2 linked regions of the Danio rerio genome follow. The protein of the gene in region 1 interacts with the protein of each later gene in a pairwise test. Links are inferred from orthologs where the notes say so. Each region holds a gene or a part of one and is shown on either strand. Other genes may lie near its edges. The genes, in order: fhl1a and akap12b.

Region 1 (4,403 bases):
CCTTGTTGTTTAACACAAAACCGATCAGAATAATTAGACGTATAGTTTTACTTTTAAAGCAAAAAATATGATCTGTGGTGATTTCATAAACCTTTGACAGTCATCATCTCATAATAATACTTTTGTATAGAGATTGCAGCATCTAGGAATAGCACAAATAAACATCACTGATGATATGAACACACATGCTCCCTCTCCATCATAAACATACAGCCTCATCCTATTTGAGTTCGGCTTCTCCGTATGTTATTATGCGTTAAGACGCTCCAGACTGTCCTACTCAAGAGTATTTGAGTCTTTATGAAAGATATATCGAAACTAGAGTTCAGTTTCACATCACTTTACCTCAATGTATGATCATCAATCACAGGTATTTGTTTCCTCTTACCTGCATGTGATTTTATTTACTCTTTTAAAGTGCTGGTAGCCATTGACTTGCATTATATGAATCACATTTTCAGCTAAAACTTTCCTCTAATGTTCTTTCATGCTGACGATCTTAGATGGAGTAAACATTTATATGCATAGTTCCTTTATATTTAATAATTTGTTCATTATCCTTCACCTTAGTCCCTTTATTCATCAGGAGTCGCCACAGCGGAATCTACCTCCATCTTATCCAGCATATGTTTTACACAGTGGATGGCCTTCCAGCTGCAATCCAGTACTGGGAAACACTCATACACACTCATTTAAACACATACAAATTTTGTTTATTAAATTCACCTATACCTCATGACCTGAAGGAAACCCAAGCGAACATGGAGAGAACTTGCAATCTCCACACAAAGATGCCAACTGACCCAGCTGGGACTTGAACCAGCGACCTTTTTGCTGTGAGGTGGCAGTGCTACCCACTTGGCCACCGTGTTGTCCACTGCTATACCTGCTACACTATACCAAATATGTCTGAGCTCAGTTCGTTTTTTTTAGCTGAATTCTCCTCTATACAGGAGCGGTGTTGTGGCTTCTGTAAACTAAATAATCATCCTGACCTGACCAGCATGCTCAATCCCCTAAGCCTTTTGGGAGAGCGTCCATCAGCTGTTCATTTTTAGCCAGCTCTGTCAGTGTTATCAAACGGACCTCTTTGTCCCAAAGCGAAGAGCAAATGCTGTTTTGAAAGGTCACCGCGAGATCAAATTCAGCCATACGGAGAACAGAAACCGAAGAGAGCATGTCCACGTTAAAGCAAACATTGATTGAGATGGCTATATTTGACAGTAGCAAATGCAGGCCAAATAAGAGGGGAAATGATGCAGAATTAAGGAATTAGCTCAATTGATATTTGGACAAGATTACACATGGGACAATAACCAGTTTTAAGGTTTACCGTGGTTTGGACGTCATTTTTAAAACTGCTAAAATTTTCTGTTGTACCATTCCAACAGTATCAACACAATCTTGTGGCAATTCATAACTTTTTTTTATTTAGTGGCTAATTCGTATGAATTTGTACATCTCATTCGTACAAATTAGTATGATTTGCTCATCTCCCAATGACGGTTGGGTTTAGGGGTGCGGCGGGGGTGGGGGTGGCTTGGGTGCCATGCCTCCTTTTTAAAATTGTACATTTTCATTCGACTGAAGTTGTACAATTTCAAACAAATTAGCCACTAAACTGACAAAACGTAAAATAGTTACATTTTGTCGTGAGATCAGGCTGGCAGTAAATGTACGTTGTTTTGTGTGTGTGTGTGTGTGTGTGTTTTACGACTATTAGTTTTTTTAGTGCAACAGTATTTCCAGCAGAAAAGAACCCTCCACATCAAAAGCTGGTCAGCACGCGATTCAGGAAAAATTTTAAAGCAAATCTCTCGTACACCTACAGCCAAGCATGCTATAGACCTGAACAGTGCAGTGGCTTAATTTATATGCAAAGAAAAGAAAGATTTCCAGGGACGCCTTTTCAAGTTGTAAAGAAATCTGGTTTTGAAACTAATGAAGACAGCAGAAGCCAACGATTTATTGCAGTTATTCAGCCTGAAATGTTTACTGTTCCAAAATATTATAAATGTTTCTTCAAATAAAATATATATTGTGTTTAGAGGGGGTTGTTGTTTTTCCCCCCTGACATTTAAAAAAAGAACATGTTTTGGAGCAGTAATCAAAATACTATGATATTTTTTATCTATCATACCATCAAAATCTTCTACCAGCCCATGCCTGACAAGATTGAGATCACATACAAATATACCCAAACTCAGCATTATAGTGACTATACAGACAAAGATGTGCTTGCCTGCCTGTGATTAACATAGCATCTACTTTATTATCTATTTTGCACAAGCTCTCAAATAAGATTGGTATTCATCTATACTGGAATTACAATGCCTAATCCTCTCAAAAATAAAATAAAACAATGACACCTCTTTTATAAAGTACAATTTGCATCAGGGTATATTAGAAAGCCCTTTCTGTTAACTAAATCCTAACATATACTTACACTGGCTGCATTTATTTGTTAAAAACAGAAATTCTGATACAGTTTTTAAATCTTATATTTTTTTGGAATATTTTATAGATATAAAAATGTCATTTATTTCCAAAGCTGATTCTTTAAGCAGCCTTCTGACATGTTGATTTTGTGCATTTCTCAATAATATACAAATAAAAATGGTTTTACTTTTTACTATTTTCATGAAAAACTAAATTTATCGTTTAGTTGAGACAGAAATGTGATTACAAATACCTTTACTGCCTCTTTTGACAAATGCTATGCTTTACAGCTAAATAATAGAAATTATTTTAGAACAATCCTACTGATCAGTCTTTGGATCTCAGCTAAACCAAATACAATATGCCTGATTAAAAAACAAATGCAAGTGCCAAGAGAATCCACTGGCTGATCCATCAATCGTCACGCTGTGCATCTTTACCTGAGTGCCTGTAGTAGCTCATGTCTGCTATCTGGAAAAACAGAAAGCCTTGCAGAAGTGAAAGAGATGGAAGGATGGATTGATACAGGATACCAAGTATAGCCAAAGAGTTACAGGAGAACTCCACTCTTCTTTTGAAAGTATTTGTCATATATACAGTACTTCCCCAGCTGCCTTTTAAAACCTGCCCCCCAGTTGCCTACCACACCCATCATGGCCTGTCCTCACAAACCCAGTAATCCCACCCAAAGCATCAGCTGCCCACTCCATGTTAGGCTGTGCTGCAAAAGATAAGTGAAGGGGAGGGAGCCGGAGAGAACTAAATTCATCTGAATTCTTGGCTTGTGACATCAGAGAGCAGAATAAAGGAATCTGATCTTCATATTGGAGAAGCTTGTGTTCATTCTGCAATGGATTAGTAAAAGTACATGGCACCACACCTAGAACAACTTTGTTTATCAGTCCTTACTTTGCCAAGTAAACTTTGTGTTGCTATTGGCTTGTCTGATTAAACAATCATTGCAATAAAAATTAGAAAGCAGAGAAAAGAAGACAGTAAAAGCTTCTTAAATTGCTTCTCTGAGGGCTTTTTGGAGGACACTAAAGTGCAACTGTCCTCAGATGCCTTTGATACTCAGTTTGACTCTATAAAACAGCCGTTTCTCCATCTACGCCAAACCATGTTTATAATACAACAGAGTGTGGAGCTTTTCTTATTTCTCAACTTATTCCTAAAGATTGTGATGTATGAGGAAAACTATGCTTGATTTGGAACCAGCTGTAGGATTCTTGTAGTGGCTCATGAATTTGAATGACTAAATCAAAACATACGAATGACTAGAGATAATTAATTATGCAGAGCTGAGTGAAATCTATAAATGATTTCCATGAAAGGACTCGAGTCTGAACTCAAACACTGCAGGACTTTTGAATGTCTACAATATACAAGTGAATGTATAGTAACTTTGCAACTGCAAATTAAAAAACAGTTAATCAGAGTATATTCCAGTAAGTTGTAACCCAATGTTGGGTCAAATATGGACAAACCCAACATTGGATTATTATTTTTAATTAAATTTAAATTACACTTTTTATTCCAATGGTTGAATTTGACCCAACATCGACAATAAATCCAGGTGTAAATGAGATCTAAATGTTTTAAACTTGTATACTTTGGCCATGATAGTCCTGTTTCCTCCTGGTATTGAGATGCAATTTTCTTAATCGGATCACAAGTATTTATTTTGTGCAGTCTACAGTACATATGAATGTTAATGGAAATGACTCAGAGAACAGATCTGTTTTTTCTGATAGCAATAGAATCTGTTAAAACGCCTGTTGAAAACTGTTGGTTTGAGTTGGAATCAGTACTGGCAAGCGAACAATGACAGGGTTCCCACAGATCATGCTTTTCAAAAGGTCTATTCCGGTCATTACAATTGATTTTTTTGTACAAATCATGGAATATCAGGCATTTCGGATTCTTTAGTTTTCATGTATCAAAATTATTATGTTTTTTTGATC
Region 2 (3,829 bases), on another chromosome or scaffold:
ATATATATATATATATATATATATATATATATATATAGTTGAAGTCAAAATTATTAGCCCCCTTTCAAATTTTTTTTCAACCATCGTCTTACATTTCCTTGCATAATTACCCTAACCTGCCTTTAAATGTCACTTTAAGCTGTATAGTAGAGAAAATATCTAGTAAAATATTATTTAATGTCATCGATGCAAAGATAAAATAAATCAGTTATTATAAATTAGTTATTAAAACTATTATAATTAGAAATGTGTTGAAAAAAATCTTCTCTTTGTTAAACAGAAATTGGGAAAAAATAAACAAGTGGTGTAATAATTCAGAGGGGCTAATAATTTTGACTTCAACTGTATATACACATGTACATACATACATACATACATACATACATACATACATACATACATACATACATACATACACACAGCACATTGCAGGTTCATTGGATTTTTGCAATCTTAATGGTTTTTATTCACCACAATCCATTCTAAAAGTAGATATTGATAGTATCATAAACAAAATTTTGATTGTTCATTCAACCAGAGTCAAAGGGGGCAGTCACTAAAGTATAGTTATTTAGTGTGGGAGGTGGGGTAGTTGGCCTGGTGGGGGTCCGGCAGTCAGTCTACTGCTCATTCTTCCTGCAACTTCCCTAAACTCACAGATTCCACTAATGAACAGCCTGCATTTGCATGTAACAGCAAGGGGTAGGGGGTTGTTGACCATTACCTCAGACCCATCTCAACAAACATCCACCCTTCCCCCAGCTTTCTAGAGAGCCCAGCTATCAAACTACTGTGATTTCAGATGGCATCTGCCCCCACCCACCCACAGTTCTACACTTTAACAGCCACAACAGACACGCTATCAAATTCCTTGGCTTGAGTTTCCCCAATCTGAGACAAAGGCAAATGTAGGGCGACTGATGGCTTACTCATGGTCCCTGACCCATTTTGTCTTTCATACTCAAGTAAAATTAAATACACACACACACACACACACACACACACACACACACACACACACACTGCACAGACATGTCTCCAGCTGTGTGAGGCAACAGCATCATGTTATAGTTTAATGTTTCATTTTTCTAATTGTTACCTAACTTTTATTGCCCCTTAAGATACCGCCAAACTTTTCCAAAAGTTTTACAGCTTGTCCAGTAATCAGTCTTCCATATCATCAAGATTTTCTATCTGTCATTCTAAATTGTTTCCCATAATGCCCCTTTCCCATTTTACTGCAAGGATTTCATCATGGTAGTTTAGGTTCCAGGACAGACAATAGTGTGGCCCCCCACCCTTTTTAGCTAAAGCAGGAAAAACCAGGGGCCCGTTTGGAGACAAAGAGCACAACACAATACAGTCTTCCTAAGCTAAAGTTTAGAATTGGGTTTGGTCTGTGGGGGGGATGGCTTGTTGTTTTGTAGGGGGATGGGAATGCCATTGCACCCCAGTATCACATTGAATTGTGGTATTAGATTAGCGCCTCTCTACATTTATAGCATACTTTAAAACCACAGAAGAGCTATCTTAATTTAAACTTACTGAAGGTGGATAAGCTAATGTAAGATTGTAAATGCATTCTCCACTGGGTGACCATGGCACGATTAGGAGCATTGGTAGTTTATTCTATTTTGTTGTTTCATTGTAATTTTTTAAGGGTGGGGTAAGACTTTACCAGTCACATAAAAATATGATTATTTTAATATGATTTATAATTTTTCGTTTTATAAATCATAAGTTGTTTGTTTGGTAAATGTGTTTGCGTTATCTAGGCCTGTGTCATGCAATTGTGTAGGATGTCAAGTAATGTTATATCCATGCATTAAAAATGCTTGGAATTTGTTTTTAAAGTCACTGGGTGGGTTTCAGACCCCAAAGCAAGAGCAAGCAGAGCCAGATGTGAGCAGTCTCTTGCTAGGTTGGATGTCAAAGGGAAACTGGGCCTCTAGGAGGCCCACACTATATGTGAACATGACTCCCTGTTCCTAGACCCACACCCTCAAAACCAACCCACTCCTGTCAAAACACAGATAGACGAGGGAGGAATTTAAGACATTATAAATGTGTGTGTGTGTGTGTTTGTGTTTTTTGTTTATCCACCTGTTGTGCTTTTAGTTACATTTAGTTTCAGATGATACTGTGCTCACATGCTGATTAATATTAGTAAAATACTATCAAAAAAAGCCCCTTCGATATGAGTTTGCTGTGTTTTATTAAATCAGGTCAGTTTCATAGTCCAAAAAGTTTGGCAACATATCCTGCATAGCTGAAGCTTACTACATGGAAATTTCCCCTGTTTGCTTTTAAGTTAACTGTTGTCATCACCCCCGTTTTATAGTTTTGGTTAACATTTACAGGCAGGAGACCAGAATATGTAAACTTAATATCAGATTGCCATCATATGCCTGATTAAATCTGTAAGGGGGGAAATGTTTTTTTTGCAGGTTTTCCAGAAATGTGGCTCTGATTTCCTTCAAATGACACAGTCCTCCATCTTGAGTTAATCATCTCACTAGATCATTTATTTTGCTTTTATTATTATAATTACAAACCTGTTTTTCTAAACTAATTCTTTTTGTGGGTTGACTATCCACAAGAGACCAAACACACAGACGATTTTAAACACTTGGAGTGTTATGTTATTTAATAATCTGTTAACTTGATGATTCGAATGGTGACGACTTGATTCATTTTTTTTTAGATGTCCAATTAAGTATCATAAGTATAAGTGAATAAATTTATGCAAGCAATTTAATAAAATCTTTCATTTTTGTTTTATTTCAGTTGGTCAAACGGACACCATCTCCCCAAAAGAAGACAGCCCTGAAACAATAGAAGTGCACCAGGAAGAGGTTGCCCCTCAAATGAATGGAGAGAAGGGAGACGATTCTGCAAATGCAGATGAGATTACAACTGCTGAAGAGAAGGTGGTAGAGGAAAAACAAGAAGAGGCCAATGAAGTGGGCTTCAAGAAGATTTTCCGTTTCGTTGGATTCAAATTCACACTGAAGAAAGACAAGAATGAGAAGACTGAGCCTGTGCAACTGCTGACAGTGAAGGAAGCAGAGAGTGGTGCTGATGCAGCCACTGAGGAAAAGAAAGAGGAACCTGCAGCAGAGGAGGACAGGTCTGTGGAAGAAAAATCACCAGAAACCACAGAAAATGAGGCCAAAGCTGAAGAAGTAACTGAGAAGGCAGAGGAACCAGCAGAACAAACTGTAGTTGATGCACCATCAGAGACAGAAAAGGTCAGTGATATTGAAACTGAAAAACCTGCTGAAGAAACAGGGACAATATCAGAGAAAGAACCAGAGCCAGAAGTGCCAGCTGAATCGCCCACAAGCCCACCCTCTCAGGAGACACAGAGTCCCTTTAAGAGATTTTTTACTCAGGGAATCTTTTCTAACCTCCGAAAAAAGGCAAGCTTCAAAAAGCCCAAAGATGAGGAACATGTCAAAGAAAAGCCTGTGGAGGAGGACATTAAGGAAACTGAGGAAACAGCAGAGGGTGTTCCCGAGGCTACAGAAGAAGCTAAAGTTGATGCTGAAAATGAACCAGCTGAGGGTGAGCAGATAGAGAAACCATCTGAAACTGTTGAAACTAAAGCTGAAACTACCACTGAAACGACGGCTGAAACAACCAATGAAGTTACTCCCACTGAGAAAGAAGAGCAACAAGATCTTAAAGTAGAGGCTGAGGCTACAAGTGAAGTTGAAACTGTGACTCATACTGAACCTGCTCAAGCTCCAGCTGTTGAAACAACCCAACCCACTGATGATGCAAAAACAAGTGACAAGCCAGATATTTCAGAAGAGGCTCCCACTGA

The links.
Region 2: the proteins of fhl1a (region 1) and akap12b interact in binary tests that used the Homo sapiens proteins (3 or more experiments, as listed by UniProt). The link is inferred for Danio rerio from reciprocal best matches to the Homo sapiens genes FHL1 and AKAP12.

The regions. Positions count from the first base shown.
Region 1 is NC_133189.1:36,177,063-36,181,465, reverse strand, and holds the start of fhl1a (four and a half LIM domains protein 1a), read right to left. Parts: upstream 3,002-4,403; 5' UTR 2,902-3,001; coding exon 2,880-2,901; intron 1-2,879.
Region 2 is NC_133195.1:29,130,291-29,134,119, reverse strand, and holds part of akap12b (A-kinase anchor protein 12b), read left to right. Parts: intron 1-2,787; coding exon 2,788-3,829. UniProt on the Homo sapiens protein: Anchoring protein that mediates the subcellular compartmentation of protein kinase A (PKA) and protein kinase C (PKC).